Linked DNA regions of Mytilus edulis. The protein of the gene in region 2 interacts with the protein of the main gene of each other region in a biochemical or structural test. Links are inferred from orthologs where the notes say so. Each region holds a gene or a part of one and is shown on either strand. Other genes may lie near its edges.

Evidence for each region.
Region 1: of the proteins of insulin-like peptide receptor (region 2) and E3 ubiquitin-protein ligase CHIP-like, one has a biochemical effect on the other in vitro, tested with the Caenorhabditis elegans proteins (2 studies listed by BioGRID, with this or other methods). The link is inferred for Mytilus edulis from reciprocal best matches to the Caenorhabditis elegans genes daf-2 and chn-1.

What each region holds. Positions count from the first base shown.
Region 1 is NC_092352.1:15,884,648-15,897,819, forward strand, and holds the start of E3 ubiquitin-protein ligase CHIP-like, read right to left. Parts: upstream 6,554-13,172; 5' UTR 6,461-6,553; coding exon 6,368-6,460; intron 3,899-6,367; coding exon 3,700-3,898; intron 2,954-3,699; coding exon 2,788-2,953; intron 1,920-2,787; coding exon 1,841-1,919; intron 1,433-1,840; coding exon 1,376-1,432; intron 908-1,375; coding exon 791-907; intron 1-790.
Region 2 is NC_092347.1:4,562,122-4,575,314, reverse strand, and holds the start of insulin-like peptide receptor, read right to left. Parts: upstream 6,394-13,193; 5' UTR 5,707-6,393; coding exon 5,580-5,706; intron 1-5,579. UniProt on the Caenorhabditis elegans protein: Insulin receptor-like tyrosine kinase which regulates metabolism, controls longevity and prevents developmental arrest at the dauer stage.

The DNA.
Region 1 (13,172 bases), on a different chromosome or scaffold from region 2:
TACCTCGTCAGATTTGCTCTTAATGCTTTGGTTTTTGAGTTATAAGCCAAAAACCACATTTTACCCCTATGTTCTATTTTTAGCCATGGCGGCCATCTTGGTTGGTTGACCGGGTCACCGGACACATTTTTTAAACTAGATACCCCAATGATGATTTTGGCCAAGTTTGGTTAAATTTGGCCCGGTAGTTTCAGAGGAGAAGATTTTTGTAAAAGTTAACGCCGGACGACGACGGACGACGGACGCCGGACGCCAAGTGATGGGGCTAAAAATAACATAAAAAGAATACCAATTTTTTGACTTCTTTTCATTTCATTTACATAACAGAAATGCAGTCGACCCACACAAATATAACCTATTATAATAAAGATTGCCTAGTTCTATAATTAGCTTGTTAAAGCTTTACTGCTCATCTTTCAATCAAAAAAGTATGGTAGTAAAATTTTACTTATCAGAATCATTGAACCATGAAGTACATGTTATTGTGACCTCCACATGAAAACTGTTACCTAGATTCAATGTACTTCAATCATATACATTGTTGTAGATCAATGATGTTCTGAATATCATATTGGATGCTCTCTGGAGAGTTGTCTCATTGGCACTCATACCACATCTTCTTGTATCTATATATAGTTTTGAACAAATAGATAAGATCATACTGCAATAGATCAGAATGTTTCAATGTAGTAACAAATGTAGTACATAAGTCTATTTCTTCTATAGCATGTGAGTAACATAGTCTACAATACCAAGTCATTTTCTCATGTCATGACAAAATATAATATACCTGTAGATGTTCCACAATGTCCTTTTTATCATATGTAATTCCTGAGGGTGTAATGACTGGTTCTCTCATCAATTCAAAACTTATCTTCCCACATAAATAATCAGGAACATCTCTTGTCTGAAAACAGTAGAAATACTAAAAATAGATATCACATGAAGACTGAATCTTTATACCCATTTATGTCTATGGTCTCATTTCTTCAAATGCTAGTATGTTTAGTTAAACTGGTTTTAAAAGTTGAAATGGATACTAACAAACAAATAACTTTGACATTACACGAACAATCTTTTTTGAAGAACTGTAAAGTGATGTCCATCAATTGAAAATATTGTAAAAGTGTATGTCAGCATATTCAATAACATTGTTTGCTTGTTTGACACAGCTTAAGATAACTTTCTATACTTTCTACAAATATCATATATTGATATCTCAAGTTCACTTTATTTTTATTGCAAATGATGCAATTATTTACAAAAAGTAATATGTTGTCCGACAGCTAAAGTGTTCTCTAATAACAATTTAGTAGAAAAACATATATATGTTCATGTATGTTTTCATTTTAAATTCAAAACAATAATGATATACCTTTCTTCTGTGATCTAACTGGGAAAATAACTCATTTACATCCTTTATTCTTGTGTCCTGTAAGAAGTAAATCATTGTATCAAACGTTACTCAATACATGTATTAAAAATAAAAAAAATAATAAACCAGTCTACAAGAAGGGTTGAATGTACCAGTAGTAAAAAATAATAAAATCATTATTTTGTTGAAATATGATAATAAATAAGTCAAGAAAAATACTATGGAAGAAGTTAAAAATTTCTCATTTCTATTCTACCTGAAGCACATATAATGAACATTTAAAGCACTTTATATACAACATAATCATTTCAAATTTCCTTAACTTTTGTTGAAAAGATTAATACACAATCTTTTTTATCTTTTACTAAAAGTCTAAATTAATGATTGTATCAAAAAAGTGCCAATTATAAGACTTTTACAAAAATATTAATCCCTCTACCAGTAATACTTATCTGTATTTCTTACATTATCTTCTTCTAATGCATTCTGTACTTCTGTAAAACTTTCTTGATCGGAGGTTTCTTCAGAAAGTTTCTCCAGTTTCCTGTAAACCAATTATTGCCATGTACATTAAACTTTATTTATTTATCATAAGGTACAAATACACTGCACTGTTTAAAAGATACAATGCACTGATATGTAAGGTGCAGAGTCTATAAAAAATTTCATATAAACAAAATTTTTGCTTCTTTTTGACAAACGAACAACTTCAACAAAGGTCTTTTATTATAACGTAATATTTCTCTTTTAATATGAAATATCATAATTTTCGTAAATATCTTTCATAAAAAAAAACTGATTGACATACATACAATTTAGTTTACAGTAACTGTAAGTACTCTAACATCAGTAATTTGTGTCTTTCATCTATTTTTCTTAACTTTTTTTGTGATATCTGATATTTCAAGCTGTTTCCAACTAGGTGTTACAGTTTGTGCTGATGGTGTGTTTTGTTGTTACACCACTGTTTGATGTCAGTTTGAAGGTTTAATACTAAAAAAAAAACATGTTTAACCCTCCCACATTCTGTATTGCTTGTCCCAAATCAGGATCATGTTTGCTTTTCATTAATATACATTTTGTCAGGAAATTCATCTTACTGATGAAGGCTGTAAAGTGACCTACAGTTGCTTACATCCATTTCATATGGACTCTGGTGGATAATAATATTTAATTGACTCATTGACAATCATATCATATCTTTTTATTTTTTATATCAATCATAACAGGTACTTGATACTTTTAAAAAAGCTTAATTTAGAGGATTCCTCAAGTTTCAAAACTATAGATAGATATAAGAAGATTTGGTAGGAGGGCCAATGAGACAACTCTCCATCTACTGGTAATCATATGACAAATAATGTAACATCTGCTTATATAAATACTTCTGATCTCTTAAAATGAAGACTTGCCTCTTTTTATCTTCAATTATGAGATTATTTATATAAGACTGTAATTCTATTTCCTCTTTGATTCGTTTTTCTTCTATTGCATTCCATCTTCTTTTCTTAGCCATTCTAAGAGCACCTGCTATATCATCTCCAAAATTTAACTTTTGTTCTTTGGCTAAATCATTTGCTGCAACATAATAAAAGGGTCAAATAAAATCTAAATAATTGCTTTCTTTATATAAATCATTTGACACAATTTAAACTCTTAGAAAGTTATGTGAAACATAAAGAACCCTGGTCTCATTAATATGATAAATGGATAAGACTAAAGAGGTAAATCTGAGAAAGATAAAAGGATGGGTAGGGGTCAAATACATGAAGAATGACCGTATCTGAAAAAAATCCTGAAACAAGGAGAAAGTGTCCTATTTGGAGAAACAACATTCAAGGAACAAGTATTGCAAACACAAGACAACTTTCCTTACAAAATGTATTTCTTGCAGCAATATTGTTCATTAAATTGATAGCAAAAAGATATGCAGTAAAATTCAACTAATTGTATTATACATGTAGCTTTGAAGTACACACTAGTTAGAATCTACCAGAATAAATGTTTCATTGTAATAACCATAAGATGGCTTACACAGTAATTTTGTGATTTTTTTTTCAGACTCATCAATTTAAATCAAATGTTCCATTCTTGTATACTATAATGTGGCCTTTCAGGTACTGTATTATAATGAGTTTATCCTCATTTTCTTTTTTTTTGGTGTATTTTAAAATTGAAATCATAATAAATGTAATTCTTGAGTTGTCATATTTTTAACAGTACTGTTTTAAATAATATACAAATGTACGTAATTTCTGAATTGACTGAAAAAGTTTTCAATTTGTATTGATTCATATACATTTGTAAACTTATTTAATATTTACCTCTCATCAAACTTGCAATAGCTTCATCGTACAAACCAAGCTCAACCAAGGCTTGTCCCATGAAAAAATGTCCCTTCACTAAAGATCTGTCTAAATCTAAGGCACGACGGCAATCTTGTTGAGCTAAATCCCACTTTTTCATTTTTAAATAACATAATGCTCTATTTGTGAAGTAAGTTGATGTATTAGGACTTTTCAACTGAAAAAAAGATATGACTGTCACTAAGGTTAATTTTCTTACAAAGTCACAAAGCAATTAATTTTTTTTTTTAGGATGAAACATTTATGATCACAATTGGTGTATAGCTGTAATGTCATTCTGTCTTCCTTTGTGATTTATTACTCAATATTTATTTTCCAATAACTGGCCTGAATAATTATTATCTTTATACAAAAGTTTTCTTCAGACTTCCATGTAATTACTTATAGATGCTTTTGCTCAAAAGGAATAACCCACACAACTTTATTCAGTCTCATTTATTTAAAGAGTATGTGACCTGTCTGTGACATTTGTGTATACCTATTATAGGGTTAATCAATAGACCTTTTCAGAGCTTTGAAGCCTTTCATGTGATCCAGCCGGAAGTCGATATGGCCCAAGTTGTTTCCTAATTTCTTGAATACATTGTAATAACAAGACATTTAGTCAAATATTTTTTTAAATATTTATCACCTTAAACATGTTAAATGAGTGAAGATGATTATGGAGTAAAAAGCATTTGTGTTAATAATGATTTTATTAGAAGTTATAACATGTAAAATGAATATTCACTTTTGTGCATGTATAACTTTTTTCATATTAAAAAATAAATTGTACCATGTATATCGGTTAAAAAAATAGCAAGTTTTCAAATGACTGATCTTAATAAGTCTTTCAACTGTGTAATTATAATACATGTAGTTCCATACACAACTGCACAAGAAGATTCCCAAGGGGATGCACACAAATTTTTGTTTTTGTCTAAAGTTTAATATAATACTACTCAAATCAAGAAATGTTGTTTGATGGATGTCATTCATTATCAATGTTGATTTTTTCCTAAAACATATTCCTCTCATCATTTATTAAATATATATGATTTTAAAAAAATACACACATTTTTCATGTGCAGTTCCACTTTCCATGAATCATAAATGTAAAAACCTATCTTGATAGTTATTATTTTTTTACCATCAGGGTTGATTAACTTGGGCAGGTCAGGAATAACCACCAATTGGTGGATTATACCTCAATTGACGAATTGACATATAATGATATAGACCAATTGGTGAACTAAATCTTTGTTTTTCAAAGCAAATTATACCACCAAAATGGAGCATTGTTTTCTTAAAACCATATTATGGTATGAAAACTTGTCACACATTCCTAGTTTAGTATAGTCACATAACATATTGCATTTAATCAATAATTGTATTTGCAGTTTCTTCTATTGTTATCTTGTCAATTCTTGATTGGCAAATTAACCACTAATCACCTGTCAATGGACATCAATACTGTGTGCAGTCAAGTGATCATGAGTACAACTCCACAGGTGAATGGAGCTCTTTGTTAATACTTGACTTTCATTATCAAAAGTCAATAGTACGAATGTTTCAACAAAAGGATTGTTGTACACATGCATTCTCAAGAGATGCAGCAGGCTTTGACAAAACTGAATCTTTGGAGGACTCAATATTAATAAGGGTCATAAAATAGGTTGCAAGTTGCAAAATCATGCTCCTAACTCACACTAGCATTTTATTACAAAAAACCTGCATTATATGGGGACGAAGTCCCCAATAACAGTAGAAAATTCAAAAAAAAAAAAAAAAAAAAAAATCGGGAAAATTTTCCCGATATTTTCATTGTACTAATGAACTCAAAATCGTTCAATTTTTTTTTTGTCAGGTTTTTGAATTTCTGGATTTGCGCAGAAATCTACAATGTACTTCCTTTTTCCGGTCTCGTTTGTATGAAACTTTGAGTAAAATATATATTTATCAGTATAGTATAAAATAGGAAGGAACACAATTCCAATTTCATTTTTGATAATTCCTTGATATGAAAAAAAAACGCAAATAGTCAAAAAATAACATAAGGACCTAAGAGCTACGGTTCCGCAGATCCGCAAATAGTCAAAAAATAACATAAGGACCTAAGAGCTACGGTTCCGCAGCTACCTGATGATAGCATTTCTTTGTTTACATTGCATATGACGTCATAACTTAAATAACGTCACAACTAAAATCCCTAACAACAGAACCAAAATCGGAAACGTTACTGTATTGCCGTTTCTTTTTTTTTAACAAATATTTAGTTACAAAAAAATAATTCATACAGACTTCGTCCCCATTTACAGGTAATGCCTGCCTCATATTACGTCAATTGGTCTATACCCATATATGTCAATTGGTGGATTATATGTCAAGAGGGGTATAATCCACCTATGGGTGGTTATTCCTGACCTGTTGGGGACAAGATTGTAGCAGAATGACATGATAGTGATACCAAGTATTTACAAATTGTTGCTGAAACACTTTCAGAATTTTTGTTTTATAGGAAAAGAACACATCCAAAAATATTCTATATTGTTTACCAGTATATATAATTTTTCAACATAACTGGTGTACCATGTTGCAGTCTACATGTACATAAGATCATTATTCAGTCATTATTTCATTCACTTACAATAGCTTTTGAATAACAATTAATCGCCGAATCAAAACTTCTGTTTGCAAAATATTTGTTTCCTTGATTTTTAAGATCTGCAGCAGCACTCATACTTAACGCTCAGAGAAAGTAAAGAAGTAAGGGGAATTTAGCATGAAATCAAGATTTTTTCCTTAAATTCAAGGTCAGACATCTACTTGTAATTACAACGAAAATTGTCCTGTTTTCAAACGTTTCTATGACTAACAAAATATTAATTACAACGACGGATAAACCATGTAAATTTCCGAAATTTTTCAGACATTCTATTCGGCATTTAAACCATACAACACAACTTCAAGCTCTAGAGAGCTCTACACCAAATATAAAAACATATACATAACACAAGAACAATAATAACAACATGCATTACATATTTGGCATCTATATGTGAGAGACCTAGTTTGCCATTTTGTACTCATGCTGTGCATTTTCATGATGATCTTGCATGTGAAGTATGATCAAAAGTGTTTCTTATAAAAAAAAAAAAAAGAAGAAAGAATTATAAAGCACTTTTAATATAAACCAATTTAGAATATTAAGGTTGATACATTGATTGTTTGTTGCTTAACGTCCAGTGGCAAATATTTCATGCATCACGATGAATATAGGCTAGGTATACATAGGTTGGTCCGTCGGCCTCCGTAAAATATCCAGCATGCCTTCGGAATATATATGTTCTATAACATATATATATATATATATATATATATAGAACATGCAGGGTTATAGAACATCAGTTGTTCGACCTGTTAGTCAAGTGCGATTTGTTTAAATATACTTTTTCACTTTTTTGGTCTTTTGGAAAATGTTGTTTGTGCTGCATTTAGACCCTTCTACAACGAAATTTGTTTTACATGCACACGTATAAAAATTGCGGTTTGTATCCAACGAAATCATAGGTTTGAACGTAGTTTTCAATTTAGACTTGTATATATACAAATAGTATTGTCAAGTATTTCAATAACGGCCATGAAACGTAAGACTAATCTTGGTTAAACTTGGAATAACATTTTATATTCAAGAACACAGAAATTCAATATTAACACTGGCATAAGAGTATGATCCACTCTCTAACCATATGAATGAAAAATCGTAAATTTGAGATGATCTGTTTGACAATTAAAACACTGAAACTGGGACTATTATACTATACTGTGATGCTGTATTTTTTCTTATGTCCACCACGAAACGGGTCAAATCTCCTTCAGTATCTGGTTTTAGAATTATGAAAAATATCAGTGTACAGCTTAGCCGATGTGCTTTGATAATCTTTGATAAAAAAAAATCATTTTTGTTACTATTGCAATATAGGGATTGTGGGAAAAAAATAAACATGTGAATATGTCCACTACGAAACAAGTATATAGTCTGAATTTATTGTGAAGACTGGGAAAATGACTAAACATATAGTGTATAGTCTAGGCTTTTCATTTTACCGATGAAAAAAAAACGTATCAACAAACGAACAAAATAGTTTTAACTTATAAAATCATATGTAAACATTTCTATCCATGACCATTCTCCTAAAAAGTTAGATTTTAAAGTTAAAGTTGTTTATCGGGAATTTGTAAAATTCGTTGATAAATTTTCAGAAAAGGATCTTTGTAAAATTACATATGCACTGCATGAGCAACATTAAATCTGATATATGTGAAGTATAAATATCATTTTTGGCATAAAAAAAAGTTTTAAAAATTTGATCCGTATGATGTAATATTATTCATCAATATGTATTTGATTGTCATTTTCCTTTTAATTATTAAATGTGATCAATCTTTATGCAAAAAATGCAGACACTTATTGACTATCGACATATCATTATAATGTACATCGTAATAACAGATGTTAACTAAGTACACCGATTACCACTACTTTCATCAGCATCCAATCTGACGTCACATTTCTCAAACCCTCTAATCGACGTCCAATGTCACTTCATGTATCATGTATTGCCAAATCGATGTCCTATCGATCAGAATCTCCTCTAATCGATGTCCAATATCTTTTAATCCCAGTATACTAATCATTATTTGTTTTCCCTATAATGATTTTTATATTTTTAAGAATGGTAGAACACTATTTCGTATTTCTGAACATTCAACCACCCAATAAACGTTTAACTACAGATAACTCGGCACTGCAACTTTGAAAACTATTTTTATTTCTACAAACTTAAAAAAAGAAGGACCAAATGTCTACCGAATGTTAAGTTATGCATTATTTCGGATACAAATACATTTAAATTGGTTCACTTTCTCCTTCGATTTAAACTTTCAATAACAGACATAATTTTACCAGTTTGTTTAACAAACAAAAAAAAATGACCTAAACATGCTTTCAACAATATTGAGTCAACTCGCTCAAATAACGAAAACATTGAGATGTGACTATTGGCGATATTCTTTGCATGGTACAAGAAAATAGTTGTGTTAGACAAAAATAGCTGAAATTCTAAGAAAATATTAGAAATTCCCAGACACAAAATATGAAATTCCCAGACAATCTATCTACAACATTTAGAGTTGTGGTCCGCATGAAAAGGGATCAGATAAAAAATATTAATTGAAATTGAAATAACAATCTGTATACTTTGTTGATAAATTTATGAAAATTAATCCATTTTATTCTTATTTTTTTTAATCATTTTTCAAATTTTATTTGGTTCAAATAATTTTTTAAACTAAGACCTGGACAGCTACTTGAGACTGGAAAAACTATGATTATAGGGCCAAATAATCAGCTATCGATTTGAAATCTTATTCTTTCACGTAAAATTGGACGCCAATTTGAAGATTCCAAATATATCAATTTACCTCGAAATATAGGAACGTGACTATCATGTAAAACATAAGAGGATGAAAAATGATTTCTTCCTTACTGTCAAAGTAACAAAATTTCGTTACAAACCTTGTGATTGAGATAATTATAGATATTCCTATATTTCTATGTTGTGTCATGTGTACAATTGTTTGTCTGTTTGTCTTTTTCATTTTTAGCCATGGCGTTGTCAGTTTATTTTCGATTTATGAGTTTGACTGTCCGTCTGGTATCTTTCATCCCTCTTTTTCACAATCTTTTCGATTCTGAAAACTAGAGGTCCTGCTAAGTTCCCTTTTAGAAAATTCTTTATAAGGCTGAGTTTAGTGGGATGATGCGAAAGATACCAAAAGCCATTTATTTTCATGAGTCGAAAATAGAACGACAACGCCATGGCAAAAAACAACAACAAAAAAAGACAAAAAGACAAACAAAAGTATACACAACACAACACAATACAGAAAACTTGAGACCTAGCAATACGAACCCCATAAAAAACGGCAGTGATTGCAATTACTACGTAAAGATAAGCATATCTTGATCCACATGTAGCACCTGTCGTGTTACTAATATGAGTACTCGAGTGTACTCTTGAAGATTTTTTTTTCTTGTATATAGTTATGCATTGATCTCAATTTAGTTTTGTTGTTGCTTTGCATTTGTCACAAGCATATGTATATGCTCATTTATTATAACTTCTTAAGAGTAAACAATATATGTTTATGATAAATGAAGTTATATATCCATTACGCATTTATTTGTTTATATTAATCTTGTTTGTTTTGTATCTCAAGTTAAAGCAGTGGTTGCATTTGAAAGCAAACATTAGACCCCAACGCAATTTGAATAATTGTTTGTTGATTTATGTTAGTCAAGATACATATTAATAACGGTCCATATGTCTCGTTATTTGTAACTTGGGTGTAGCAAACATAAATAACTTGTCAAGTGAAAAACACAATACTTCATTATTACTCAAACTTGAAGAAGACAAAAATAGATATTGTATTGAATCATAATTAAAAAAATACAAATAACATATAAACCAACGATTAAACACAGTGAAAAGGTCGCGTTTTTTTTTAAACCAAATAATAAAATGTTATTACATACCATAAAACCCACGTTTGTCAGATTGTGACATCTTTTAAAAATGAAAAATATATTGACATCCATCATCCATGCAACTCCAAGCATTTTTTTTAAATTATCAATCTCAGTTAATACTTCTATGGTTAATATATAATAAGTACATCTTTTGTGTATCTTTATAAATCTTTTTTTCTCTAAAAAAAAACCCCAACCAAACCAAATTACAGTGATAAAGAGATACACTAAATATATATCACATATTGCATATATTACAGACATGCAAAAGTAAAATAAGCAATATAGATTACCATTTAAGATTTTAGTTTTCTATGTGTGTCTGTTCCCTTTTTTTAGCCAAGGTATTGTCAATTTATTTTCGACTTATGAGTTTGAATGTCTGGTATCTTTCGCCTCTCTTTTATAACGGCAAAGGGCCTAAGTGCTGATTAATAATTCTTCTAAATTTTCATGTTGTTGAGATCAAATACATTTTTGCTATTCATCATTCAATTCAATAAACCTTTAGGAATATGATTAGTTTCTATATTTACTTTTCTATAGCTATTTATTGTCCTCATTAGATAGTTCATCTAATGTGTCTTGTCAACACTGAGGTTATATAAGTATGAACCTTGACGAACTTGGCAAGTACATTCGTTTCTAAATTGACCAGGGTTGTAGGTTGTCCTGCCGCATGTCAGGGATTCTCTCCAGGCACTCCGGCTTTCTAGATGCTAAGAAAAAAACCTACGACATAGCCAATAGTACCAATGGTGGCATTAAACACCAACAATCAATCAATCATCATTAGATACAGAACATGTAAAAATATGATGACATTCGTCTCCAAAATCTTCCGAGCTACAAACTTCAAAGTTCTATTAGTTCTTGCAATATTTTGCTATCTACCAGTCAATGTTTTTATAAGACATGCGATAGTTTAGAGTTCTTTTGGATGATACTCTTTTAATTCTTATTGACGCAACCTCTATTCTTCGTTGTGACATCACTTAATTTGTTCTTACCTTGAGCAACATGACGGTACCACTATATAAGCTCCTAGTTTTTGTAGGATTCATGTTGCTCAGTCTTTAAGCTTCCAATGCTTTTTTATGATCTTGTTGAGTCTTTTTTATGATCTTGTTTGGTCTTTTTTATGATCTTGTTGAGTCTTTTCGCCGTCATTTGAATGTGTGTCATGTTATCAGATCTCTTCGGCTTCTTTGTTTTAAATGTCTTATTGGTATCTTTCCCTTTTTATTTTCTACATCAAACCTGTATTAACTGGTCAATTCAATTGTGACTGACCATATGTCATTTATGAATTACCGAGTTTCCCATGTAAATGACAAACCACAATCATTTGGTGCAGTAATTTTTCTATACGGAGTTTAATTTCGATTTCCAAATGATATGCCACATTCTCCATACAACCGTATACATTAAAATCTAGTGTATACTTTTTAACCGTTTAGCTAAATATTTGTATAGTAGGAAGAATTAGAGCCGTATGGACACATGAAATCAGATCCTACTCTGCAAATTCAACAATAAGTATCATTTGTTTAAAAAAATTACTGCTTTTTATTTACCAATAAATTAACTGCATATATATTACTGCATTAGTATACAACCCATTAATAACATATCAATTTAAGCACATGGTTTTATACATTTTTTTATTCATTTAATGTTTTGTTCGACAAGGTTGTCCTATTCCACCTATATTTAAAAAGGAAAAATAAATATTTAAGTTCAGAAAACATGGTGACAGCATTGATTTGAATTTCAAGAAAATTGACAAAATAGGGTTTTACAACTTAAGTACATAGTCATACTAATAATTAGATTTATATACTGAAATAGTTCATTGGGATTATGACATAATTTTTTTTTATTAATCAGTCAATCAAGAAAGTTTGTGGTGTTTTATTAGAATATTATTCGTAATTTTTGCATTAATATTATTTCTCGTTATCATTCAACACTCATAACTATTTTGATTGGAGGGCGTGTCTATTGATAAAAAGGTAACAATATCATTTCATATTTCACAGTTAATCAGACAACAACTTGAGAAACATGTTACCTATATTACTAGTAATTTTGTCTATCCTTTGCACTGTTTATGGTGCTCGACACAAGGGCAATAGGGTTACAATCGAATTTGAGGATTCTGCAGATTTGTCTCGACACCAGGACCGGGTTATGTGGAGAGGTGGAGGTTCGATGAAAAGAACGCTGCTTCTATACGAAGAGGAGTATATTGATATCAAGTTTTGTCTTTCTGCTCTTACTAAAATAACTGTGACTAATATTAGATATTCAAATGACGGCTTGTCAGACCATGTTCTCTTATTTATGAACAATCAAACAGTCGCAGAGTTTGAAACTATTTACCGAACTAACTGGGGACATATGTGGAATGTTTTCTCCGAAACAGGGCCTTTGACATATCCTATATTGCTGTCTCCTGGATACCACACTTTGAGGATTTTAATTAATTTATCTGACAATTATGGAACTGAATTAGATAGTCTTGAATTTCAATTAGAGAACCAACCAAGTAATGAAGTGTTCTTTTGCACCAAAGCTCTGACTGAATATGTTATGTTTTCACAACTGCCTCCTCCAAACGTACACAAAGATAAGACAGAAATAGTGAACTTGTTAACGAATATACAACCATTCCAATGTATTGATAAGTACAATGTTTTTATGTGTTTACAAACAAACTATTTAATTGGGATGCAGATATCTGCACATTCGGAATATCTCAATAATTCTGGATTAGGTATAAAATGGGATGACGAGTTTGAGGCAACTCCAAAATGTTACGTAAAAAATATTACATTATGGGCATTAGGCAAAA
Region 2 (13,193 bases):
CAAACTGATAAACTAATTTTGTCACATCATTAAAGTGGAGTTAAAGTCTTATAGATTGTAAGTATGTTTTATTTTATCACCTTGCACTTTCATGACTTGGCTGTGGTTTTCTACAGCAGTTGGTTCAAAATTCTGACCAGTTGAACAATTTGATTTTGTAAAACAAATTGCAATTTGGTTAAAATTTTGAATGAGTTGCAATTGGTGGAGAGCAACACTAACAGTCAACTCACTGTAATATATATATCTAATTCAAACTGAGAAATATGTTGCTGTTTTGTAATTTATAATATATTTAAATACAACTGTTGAAATAATGGAAATAATGGCAATACTAAACATTTACCAGAACATGTTATCCTTAAGTTAAACAGACCAATATTGGTTATTTTTTTACGCTACTTTGTGTGGCCTGTTCAAATTTCCACGCGAAGTACATAACACTACAGGGAGATAACTCTGTAAAATCAGCTGAATGTTAAAACAAAACCTATTGATAAGTCTCTCAATGATCAAAATTAATGTTTTCCAAATTACTTTGTATATATATATATATAATGAAATTTTTCAGGCAAAGTTCAAATTTTTTGAAATTTTGTATTTTTGTCAAATGGTCTAAATAAATATTCTGTCAAATCTTTAAGAAAAGGTGCTAAAATGAAAAATAAATATCAGAAAATGATACTCTAAATAAAATTTAATAACACTGACATCAAAAGATTGTTATAGAGTTTCTTGTATTAGCTTTGCACATTCTTTCAATGACTTGTGTTTTTTAACAATAAAAATATTTCACCCATTTCTTTTATATCTTAACTTGTGATGATTATATATCTATAAATTGATTTTAAGGTTTTGAATAAAATTAAAACAAATATATTTTTGCTAGAAAATAAATATTAAATTAATGTATTGTTTTGATCAACATTTTGTAATTCATTTTGATAAAAATAACATATTTTTAAGTGTACCAGTACTCATGGTAATGTAGAATATCAGACCATGGAAGACCCTCAAGGGTAGTCAAGGTCGTTAAACACCCCTAATGAAGAACTGGTTACCATGAACTGGTTACCATACATGTAGTAGGCTTCTCACATCTTTTGCAGCATATGACCTAAGATATTGATGTACTCATTGAAGAAATAATTGTGGTAAATCGATAAGAATAATAAATATACATTATAATTGCATCTGCATCAGAAATGAAAACGACAAGGGTGGAGACTTTTCCTTGGCCTAAGTTCAGGGCAATCATACATATCTTCTTAAAAAGGAAGCTTTATATGAATACTACATGTATGTACAAATGTATACATGTAGGAAGAAAAAGAAGCATCAAACGAAGCACATTAACAGATCTTTTCTTATCTCACACTATGAAAAGCATTTCATAAAAAAGATAACTATGAAAAAGTGTCCATCCTCTGATTAGCTTACATGTACTTGTATTATAAAGGTTACACTATTAGGATTTATTGGTAAATAATACATTAAAAGAAAAATTTGGAAGTTTCAGTGGAACCCATTGTCTCGACGACAGAATGTAGGATCACTTTTGTGACAAAAGTCCCAAGCTCATCAACAAAAATAGTCTTTGAACAGCAGTACATTGGGTACAATTCTTATTAAAGAGGGATAATTTATTATTCTGGCCATGTTAAAAATTCAAATGTTCTCTTGGGGCACTCTGATTTCCTCAACCATAAAAAACAATTTCTGCCATGAAATAGCACAATAGTGTTGAAAGTGGTGTTTAACAAGCAATTGGCAAAGATATACATATGAATAAATCCTGACTTTTAAGTTTCCAATGTAAATACAATCATCACCTTTTCAAGTTAGTAACAGGTCAAATGTTCAAAATGTACAAAAATGTGTATTTAGTACTCAACAAGAATGTGTCTATAGTACACGGATGCCCCACTCACACTATCATTTTCTATGTTCAGTGGACCGTAAAATTGGAGTCAAAACTTTAATTTGGAAATAAAATTAGAAAGATCATTATATTAGGGAACATGTGTACTAAGTTTCAAGTTAATGTTACTTCAACTTCATCAAAAACTACCTTGATCAAAAACTTTAATCTGAAGCGGGACGAACGGAAGGATGAATGAATGAACAAACGAACAAAGAACAGACCCACAGACCAGAAAACATAATGCCCCTCTACTATCGTAGGTGGGGCATAAAACTGCAAAATTTTCTATTCCAATTATTTTTCAATTTTAAAGGTAAAAGTACCTAAATTCACTTCATTTTGTTTGTATAATGTTTATTTGACAGTTGTCTCAACTGCAATGCTACTTATTCCTTTACGCGAAATATAAATATGTGTGGTTCCAGTTACATGTATGTCAGGAAAAAATTATGTTTGTATCAATTTAAAATACAATATTATATATTATGTTTATCAATTTTATTTTTTTAAATTATATATATATATATATATATAATTAGGATCCTTTCAAGTTGACTACATTCCTGAGGAAATGCATCTCATCTTCTATTTCAGCATTAATTAATTTGCTAATTCAATCTTCAAGTGTATCGATCATTAAAATGTCAGTGCTTTCCAATTTTTAATTTAAAAAATGTATGAAGACATAAATGTGTAGGTCTAAATTCAAATCAACTAATACACCTCTTTCATTTAAAGGGAGACTATTTATATGTACATTGTACAGTACGTACATTTTCGAACATGTACATGTATGCTTGTACAGGTACATGTTAAAAATGTATGCTCTAAGTCAAATTCAATTTATATAATCTTTATATGTCTTGCATGTTCTTATTTCAGTTTTGTGCAATATTTTTTTTTTCTTCTGTCACAAAAATAACAGCTACATGTATGTACATGTACAAAAAATGTTAAGTTCCCTCTTGATGAAAAAAAAAATCACCTAATTTATTGTATCTTATTAGTATCTTACAAGAGAAATCTTTTGACAGTACATGGAGTGATGGTTTTGATTATACCTATAACCTAGGAATTCCACCTAAATGTTCACAAGTACAAAATTGTGATAGCAAAATAACATTTATAAATGGGGATTGTGTCCATGGGACACAGATGATACCCCCACTTCACTTGCATCTTATATAAAGTTATAAAGGGACAAAACTGAAGAACATTAATCAAAATGCTTGTAAGCACCTAGGGTAAAGGCTGTTTTCATTTTTTTAATGAACATTGCATTGTATAAAGCATTGGTTGTAGTTGATTCAATCAATTACAATTATGGACAAGATAACTGCCATTTTAAAAATTATTTTGAAAATTACATCATTGTTACTTTTAGAACAGATATTAGATTCCTATTTTTCCCTTTGTAAAGGAGCATAACTCTAGAATGTTTGAAGTGACACCACCAAAAATCTGTATTTTGTGGTAATAAGCATTGTGTATAAGTTTAATAACATTTGGTTAAGGCAAATTAAGGAAAGAGAACGAAAACAAAAAATTCAGCATTTTTTTTATTCGAGAACGGTACAGTACATGTATGTGACGCCACCAAAATTCAAACTTGATCTGTGTTTTGTGGTAACAAGCTTTTGAATAAGTTTATTAACATTTGGTTGAAGCAAACTAAAGTTAGAGAATGGAAACCAACTTAGGGATGTACATGTACATGTATGTCATGTATGTACGGATGTACAAATATGTTACGTACAAATGTATGTCCGTACGTACAGACGGACGAGGGTAATCTTTATGCCCAATCCGCTATGGCATTTGGCATTAAACATAAAATGACTATTCAAACTGTCTCATTTTCCTCCACTTATAATAAGCATGTTAAGGAGATTTTGAATATCAGAAAGACGTTCACTTTTTTCAATTTCTGTTTCAATTTTTCTCTATTTGATATTGAATGCAATTTTTGTTTAGCTAACAATCGAAACAACCATACTGTGTCAGTGTGAAATTTTTGTCTGAGTTGTGCCACTTTGTCTGATAAACATCACTTCAAACAACTATAGTATAACATAAATGTGCACAGTCACACTATACATGTAAGTATACATGCTACCGTAAACAGAATTGACAAAAAAAGTGAAAAAGCACAAATCTAAAATCCTTATATAAGCATTTCAATTAAAAAATGTCATTAGGTTTCAAGTATTAATGCATTGTGAAAACAAATATTTCATCAACGAAATTCCAGTCAGATATTCTCTTGAATATCCTTTTTATATTAGATACAATTTTTTTCAAGTCTGATAAAGTTTTTTCGTAGGCAAGACATTTTAACTGAGGAACTATACAGGCGTCAAAAGGCATCATTATGGAGGAAAGGGATAATTATAAGGTAACATAGGAACACTCTTAAAATTTACATCAAACACACACATATCACTAAAATAGTAAGTGTTTTCTGCTCTATAGTCGGACTGTTGTCTCTTCGACATATTCCCCATTCCCATTCTCAAATTAAGATACATGTACATTTTCTTTCTATTTACATTTAAATGTAAATGGGTAGGACATACAATGTATAAGAAACTAAGGTTTGCAAGATTTAGATTCACCAAATGTTGTTTTTCTCACTTCAAATTTTTAGCTCCAGCTAATGAAATATTTAAATAAGATCATATACCTTTGTACATGACCCATCTATTGTCATTATCAACACAGAGAATAAGAAAGACATTTGTAAGCACCTGTCTTAAGTCATGCGCCTGTTGTTCAGTGATTCTTGTTTGTTGGTCTGGACAGTCATGACAGTGGTGAATAAATGAGGGGGAGGTAGGAGGGGTCCTGATCCTGAAATTCTGGGCTTAAAAACACGAAATCCTGAAGTCCCGAATTTAAATAAATTTAAATCCTGACATCCCGAAATTTGAAAAAGAATTTCCAAATCCTGAAAGGTTCAATTCCAAAATTCCGAGCTTAAAAACACCCGATCCTGAATAAAGGTCCTATCCCCCTCATAAATGTTTCTTGTGTCTTGTTTTTTTATAAATAGAGAATCACACACACATAAGACCAATGGTTTTCCTGCAGATTATATTGTTTTACACTTGTTATTATGGGGCCTTATTAGCTTTCTGTTTGGTATGAGCCAAGGCGGTGTCCAATGCCGTACTTTGACCTATAATCATGATAATTCACTGTAATTGTAAACATTTTATACATTGTGACTTGGATGGAGAATTGTGTCATTGGCACTCATACCACATCTTCTTATATATTTATATCATGCTACAGGCTTATTTTGCTTTGCCCACCCGTCTACAGTGGTAGTGGGCACCAGGTGGGCAAAATTTCTAGCTTGTCCACTGCCCACCCATACTTACAAAATGTAGGAGTGGGCAAGCAATTTCTTTTGTTGAATCAAAAGACTTGCAAGTAAAATCAATTGAAAAAAAAGCAGATAAACATATGTTATCAAAAATTTTACAAAAAAGAGATTATATTTATACTACATATTTACTATAGCGAGTAAAAATAAAGTCAAAGAACAAATATTAATTAAAGTACAAAAATGAAGGTCTAAGTCTTAGTAAACATTATTATGTTCATTCTTAAAATGATTTTAGTGATAAATAAACTGTTTAAGAAAACTTACTAGTTCCTTCTCGTTCAGTTGCTGGTGGAGAGTTGAAACCTTCACTCAAACGCTTGCCTGTCACAAATGACATCAATACACAACAAACGAAAATAATAATACATGATGAAGCCATTGAAAATCTCATCTTAGTCTATCAAATGTTAAAAATAAACGTTTATACAATATCACAGAATTTGGTAATGCAAATATCTAGTAAGTACACACTGTTGTTTTTGTTGATCGTCATTTTATCAATGAATCTGGATGAATGATTTCACACATGGTGATGAAGGCAGCAACCTGGGCCATGAGAAATCGAAATGTAAATGTGCATGTTGCGATGAAAATAAAGACATGAATCCAATACAATATTGATGATTTGGTTTTACATTTTGATGAAATTCTCGTTTTGAATGTTTCATAATTTGTTCAGTACAACTATCCATGAAATAGGCCTTGAACTTCTGTATTGTTTGTTGAAAAACCATGCAAAACAAGCCCGGAAATGTCCATCATTTTCACAGTCCACAGTAAAACCGAGCATCCGAATTAATCTCACATGTATTGCAGTATCACCTTGACCGATTTTTACATCACAAAAAAAGAATTCCAATGTGTATTTGATAAATTAATACTTATTTTTTACCTCCATTTCAATGTACATAGCGGAAAACAAGACGTAAACAACCTCGTTAGATGATTGGTCAATTAGTCATTCAGAGCTACAACCATGATCAATGCTGTAGTTTCGTATCCAAAACGATCAAGGTCACCACCTAAAGTCTATTTTGTAGTATTGTAGACTACCGCTTGTGGTCATTTTGTCTAATTTCTAAAATATTGCCAATGACGTCAAAGATATATTGTGGAATTTAACACCGGTTTCCTTCAGTTTTTTACACAGAATTTACTAAAATTTATAATTTCATAATTTTTAAGTATTTGAAAACCCTGCAATTAAAGTAGATAAAGACTATAAATTGCAGAAAAAATGTGTTTGGTATTTGTTCAAGTCAATAGGGGCAATATAATGAACAGAAAAAATAAAGGCAGTCATGGTTTTGTCAAATGTGATGCTTCTATGAGATATTTATAAATTTCATTAAAATGCAGACACGATTTTTTAGTGATTTGTTTTATTCCGAAAAAAGGTAAATTACAACAATATTAAATCAAACATTGATTGGGAATTTTACACAAACAAATATGTTCAGCAATTATTTATCAAATGGGATAATAATGCGATTATGCATACTATTTAACATTTTTAAGTTAATTTTATACCCCTCTTTGTGATCGTATTAAAAACTTCCAAAATATTTAATATTTCAGCTGCCTGCATCCTGCATGGGTCCAATGTAAATCACGATCAATTTTAGTCGGAAGGTTTTTTTCTCTCTATAAAACGCAATCCTACAAGTTTGTATCTAACTGAGCATTTTTAAATTTTATTGCTCTGCAAACTTTATCTGTAAATGCATCTGGCTGTTTTGGGAGCATTTCCTTGTTAAAAAAAATGTCTACTACACGTATTAATTGTCTACTGTAACTCCTCGACTGTGGCATGATTGCTATATGAGACAATATCTGAAAAAGTCTAGTTTTTGGCAATAAGAATAAACCAAAAAAAATTCTTTAGACCCGGTATTTTAATAGCACAAATCGAAGAACACACATTGGGGATCTAGGAACTGTTGTCTGTAATTCAAATAATTGTTTATTAAGGAAACAATGGCAATTTAAAAAATGGTACAAAAAAAATACAGTTCTTTCCTGTTACCAAAGTGAATCAATTTTTAAAAGTTTCTAATGGGAATAAGGAATAAGTTTAAGACACTATTTGTGGTTTACTAGTATATCCTGCAATAGTTTATCAAATGCCAATTATTGATTTTAGCATTTGCAATACAAAAGGTTTAGAAATATACTTAAATATAGTCAGATATGTCGGTAACATGAAAGAATCTTGAGTAACAGGACAACGGTAACAGGACAGAGTTGGTAACAGAAAGGATTTTTCTGCTTTATTTTAAAGTTTAAGAAAAATAAATCATTTTAGATTGGTCACAATTGGAAGATAACAGCAAACAATGTCATTTATCCTTTGAAACTGTATTTGCAAGATGAAAAATCTGCCTAGGTAATGAAAAATTCTAAAATAAATTCCTTTCTGTTACTATCTACTATACTAGAATTGCACAATGTTCTCTGCTGTTATCAAAAGCAAAAAACCTATTTTTTTATTCAATATACTGTATATTATTTTGAAATTTATTTGATATGGTGGTGATAACTTACATTAAATGAAATGGTTGGCATATAGTAGATTAACTGTTCGATTCTTCAGTGAAATTGTCTTGAACATCCTTCCTGTTACTGATGATGGTTATGCTGTTACTTTTGATCAGGTAACATGACAGAACGTAACAGAAAGGAATTACGCGATAGTTTTTGTCCTTTTTATCACATTAAATGTAAGTGTATTTCCTGTGACATATAACTTTTAAAAAGATGATATAAAAACACACTTAATGTTGTGGTGCACACTTAAAAATATTCTCAGAAAGTGTAAAAAAAGGCTATAACAGGATAGAACACCAATAAGTATTTTTCTATAAATTCTTACCTTGGATGGGCTTGAATTTTCAAACCTGGCCGCCTTTCCAACTATTTCTTTGTACTAATACATTCAGGGAATGATGCTCTTCACAATACATAATGGGAAAATAACTCTTGGTCTTGTAAACGTTTCCACAGGTAAAAAAAACCCAGTGGTAACAGGAGGGAAATCACCCCTGGGGACAATTTTTTTTTCTCTTAAAATTGGCAAAATTTTATTACATGCTATAGTTATAATATAAAAAGACAAATTAGGGGCAAGTTGATTACATAATATATCATATATGTGAGAATCGGACGCCTTTTTAATTAATTTGGATATTATTTGAATGATTTAGTTTTCAAAAAAACACAGGGGACAACATGATTTTAGGGGGGGGTTGAACATTTGAATCACAATATTTTATTGGAAGAAATATAAGAATGAGTGTTTAATTGGCAGGCCATGGTGCATTATAGAATTTAGTTTATACTAAAACTTAAAATTTTCGAAAAAGATGGTTGAATAAAAAAATAATTGCTGGTGAAGTGAGGGACATGGAAATTAGACTTTTTCAGATATTGTCTCATATGCATTGATATTGACAAAAATATATATGACATTGAAGATGAATGATTGTAGGTTGGCAGAGTGGGATCTTCATTACCGTAATTTCCTTATGAAGTTGTCATTCGATTCTCTTTTTTGCGTTTTCTTGACACAATAATTCAAATATCTTAATTTATGAAGGTGTGTAATTTTTATATTATTTTTATTTTAACGGTAGATTGTATAACTAAAATGAGTAAAATATATATAACTGAAATTGTATAGCGGTTTTTTTTAACAAATTTTTATTTTAATAAATATTTTTTCATAAAAAAATAAATAAAAGGATTTCAAAGAATTTAAGTAGTTGAAAGAATTTCATTATTTTTATCAAAATGATAAATTATGCTTTATCTAAAACACTCATTGTTGCGTATCTAAAACACTCCTTGTAGCTGTATCTCAATATACAAATACTACATACTGTTAAAAAAAAACACTATTAAATTAGGGGATAAACATATATAAACGTTATAAGGTAGCAGAAAGTATACCCCATTTCGTTTATTTAAGTTTTCTGCTCGCAAAAAATCAGCCTATTATACAGAGTGGCGAAGGAGTCAACTGAAATGTGAGAGGAGGGCTAACTTCTATTAGTGAAAAGCAACAAAAAAAAGGAAAAGAATTTTCCGTCCACTCACCTTGAGTTTCTTTTTTCTATTTTTCGGTCATTTTCACATGAAATCATAGCTAAGTAGCTTTCAACTAACATCGACCAAACAAACAAATAGAGTAAATTACTTTCATTTGGAAAAAAAAAACACAAGTTGTTAATAAATTTAGCCCACACAAAAAATAAACTAGGATATATGATATTTTTTCATAGTTTGTATTTTATGTCACACTTACATATAGGCGAGTGACTTATTTCAAAAAGACGCTTAGTTAACGACTTTAATGCACCCACCTAACACACGGCTGTATTATATATCATTCGAAAGCTGTTAATCTGTACTTTCTGTTTTACCCGGTCGTAAAAAAATCGTACGGTGCAATTTTTGTTAAATCAAGGTCAAAGGTCATGAAAAAAATTCCAATTTTTGCGATTACTAAATAAAACGCCATTTTCTAATTCTTGTACCATAAAATTTTCCAGAAGATCATATGAACTTTATGGAACATGATACATAATTTCCAAATCAAACAAAAAATAAGAGATTCGATGCGCAAAATTTCCCAAAAATTGAAATTTATCACAAATCCTAAAAAAAATTAAAAATTATTCAAAAAGCAAAATATAATTGAGGTTAAAATATGTTTTTTACGAAGTCAAACTGTTTTACTTTTTGTAATCTTGTTTAAATGCAAACATTACTTTGCGACTAAATCGTAGGCAACATTGAAATAAGTAACCTAGTTTAGAAACACTTGGTTGTCTAAAGCGGAATGTAAACGAACTAAATAATAAAAATGCGGCTGCTTCTTATTTAGTTTAAAATCGTGTTATAGTAAGTCATATTAAATGTATTTAGAAGTTTAATCGCTTTAATTATTTGATGATAAAATATGCTTTGAGTATTTTCTACATAAGCTTTAAAAATACAAATGCATGTCATTGTGTATGTAAAACACTATAAACAGTTGTGAAATAACAAAATGAAAAAGTTAAATACCCTTCCTGACCTCATAAGATCATTCGCTGTTTTAGGAGTGTTCGTTTTCATGGTATGCCGTGTTTTTTGGACTGTTGTTCATCTCTTGGACTTTAATCTTATTTTGTTCATGGTGATTGTCCCTTTGGTATTAATTTATTTTAAACACATTAACTTGCAGTAATGAAAATCAGCCAAAAAATCACCTCAAAGTAAAGTGAAGTAGATTAACGCAATAAGACAAATATCCGCGAAAATAACTGAATTTGCTCACGATGATATATATATAGAACCAAATCGTTATCATGATACATTTAGCTACACTGATCTACAATTTTAAAACCTTTTACTACTTGAATAGTGACGAAATATATCAAAGGGACATCAAACTCATGATTAAAAACGAACTGACAAAGCCAGGCAAAAAACGAACAAGACAAGCAACAGTATACAAAACACAACATATAAAACTACAGATTGAGTAACACAAACCCCCAAAACATTTTTTTAAATTAACTCAGGGGCTCCCGAAGGGTAGGCAGATCATGTTCCACAAGTGACACCCGTCTTAGTTTAAACATATTTATTTATAGTGGATTGGGAAACAAGTTTTGCAACTTAAATTAATCGCTTTCCACTTTGCGGGTGCGAGTGCTGCCTTGTAGCGGCATTAGCCTGCTCTTTTTCGAAATCTACAAAGGTGTGTTTACAAGAGATATGGCTCTCTCTTAACACGGGTCAGTCATTTATCGTCCCCTTCCGACGGACTTTCATCGTTTCCTCAAGACCATACTCACAAATGGTGTCAAGGAAGAGCCGAAAATTCAGTCCCTGAAATTTTCATCACGGAATGGAAACGAACCAGTAACCTTTGTGTTAGTAGTCCGATGCACTAACCACTACACCACGACTCTCTTTTACCCGTCTTGTGGCTCATGTATTTCCTAACTCGGTGCCAAGCCTTATTCGGTTGGTGACATTCACGGCAGAAATGACGGCAATTTGGTTACGTCGATGGAACTTATCAGTCGTCATCTGGCGAAACAGATATCTCATAATTGCAACCAACTCGTAGTGGCGTCCATGAAATTTTCAAAGGGATGATTTCAACTTTGCATTTGAACTCTGGTTTAAAACACCATTTTTCTTCAAATGTCCTGTACCAAGTCAGGCATATGGCAGTTGGTATCGAATAATCTGTTTCTTTGTATGTTGGCGTTTGTTTTTGTAGCAGTTCTGTGTTTCTGTTATATCTTTGTGTTCCTCTTATAGTTGATGCGTTTTCCTAGTTTTTGCTTTGTGACCCGGATTTATTTCAGTTACTATAGTAAATCGATTGATGACTATTTAATAGCGGTATACTATAGTTGCCTTTATTTCAGAGGAGTTGAGGCTCATATCGGTCTCTCCTTTAGTAGTATAGATATGCAGGCGTTGCTATAATGTAGTTGCATAGAAATGAAAAGTTTATAATTTGGTAGTAAGGGGTGTTTTTATGGGTTGTTTTATGCTCATCTCTTTTGTCGTAAAACTTGCTCTCAACCAACCCTCATCATCGATTTCAAGATACGTGATAGAGTAAACTGTATCTTTTGAGTCTTTTATTTTTATTGAAAATACGAGTCCAACATTGTCACAAATTTTGCGATATTCAGTGAGATGACATCATCTATATAATGGAACGTGAAGTTTCAAGATAATGATAGCGTCTTTTCAGTCGTCATCAGAAACTCTTGCATGAAGTCATCCTCGTATGAAAAATGAACTAGTCATTCAAGCTATTCAGGAAGTCTAGTTGTAACTAGAATCGTTGCGTATTAATGGAGATTTTTTCTTCAAAATTATTCTTATTTGACGAATTAATGCATGTAAACAATGAACAACGCAATTTAAGCAATCAAGTAGTCAAGTTTTATAATGTGTTTACTAGTTTTAGAAATTCTTTGAAATTTCAATTTTCATCAATTTATTTTCTATTTATTTTGGTCTAAATTTTCTATTCACATTAAATAAATAAAAGGTCTTTTCACTACATCAATATTTATAATGAAGCTACAAATCAAACAATTAGAAAAGTCGAAATATGTTTATTTCAGTCTGGTAGTTACAATGCAGATTGCAATCTCTTAGATTCACCCCATTTATTTCAAGCAATAAGATGATTAGCGCACATATTTTTTCTACTCTAAATTATTGACCACATACAATGTTTAAATAGGAAGAAATGCTTAAAAGCTGTTTTTTCGCAGATGGCGGTATTTTGGGCAACTGTATGAGTTGTCAAGTTATGATTTGCTGTTTGATTAGAAGTAAGCATAATTTTAGAAAATTTTATGATGTCAAAAACTTCTTTGATAGTCATTACAGGGTTTTACTTAGTTTTAATTGATTAGCATTTGCACCAGAAAGAAAAATTTGGGTTTTCACACATTTTGTAACTTTTACTCGAATTTCAGGAAACATGTGCTATCTGTCAAAAACACGCTTTAAATATTAAAAAAATGCATTTGAATAATGACTGTTAATCTCTCTGCTAAAAGTTTAAATTGTTTGCATATGTGAATTTAGTATATAAAAGTCATTTTATGCAATCAGGCTGAAATCTTAGAAAATATGCACTTATTCGTCCTTGGCCTTTGATCTTGATTTGACGGAAATTGCACCGTACGATTTTTTTACGACCGGGCAAAACAGATAGTACAGATGTGTAGCTTTCAAATAATATATAATGTAGCCGTGTGTTAGGTAGGTGGATTAAAAATTTATTTTTATGATTAAAGTCACTCGCCTAATATATGCGATTGAGCTGATTAATATACAGATATAATTTTG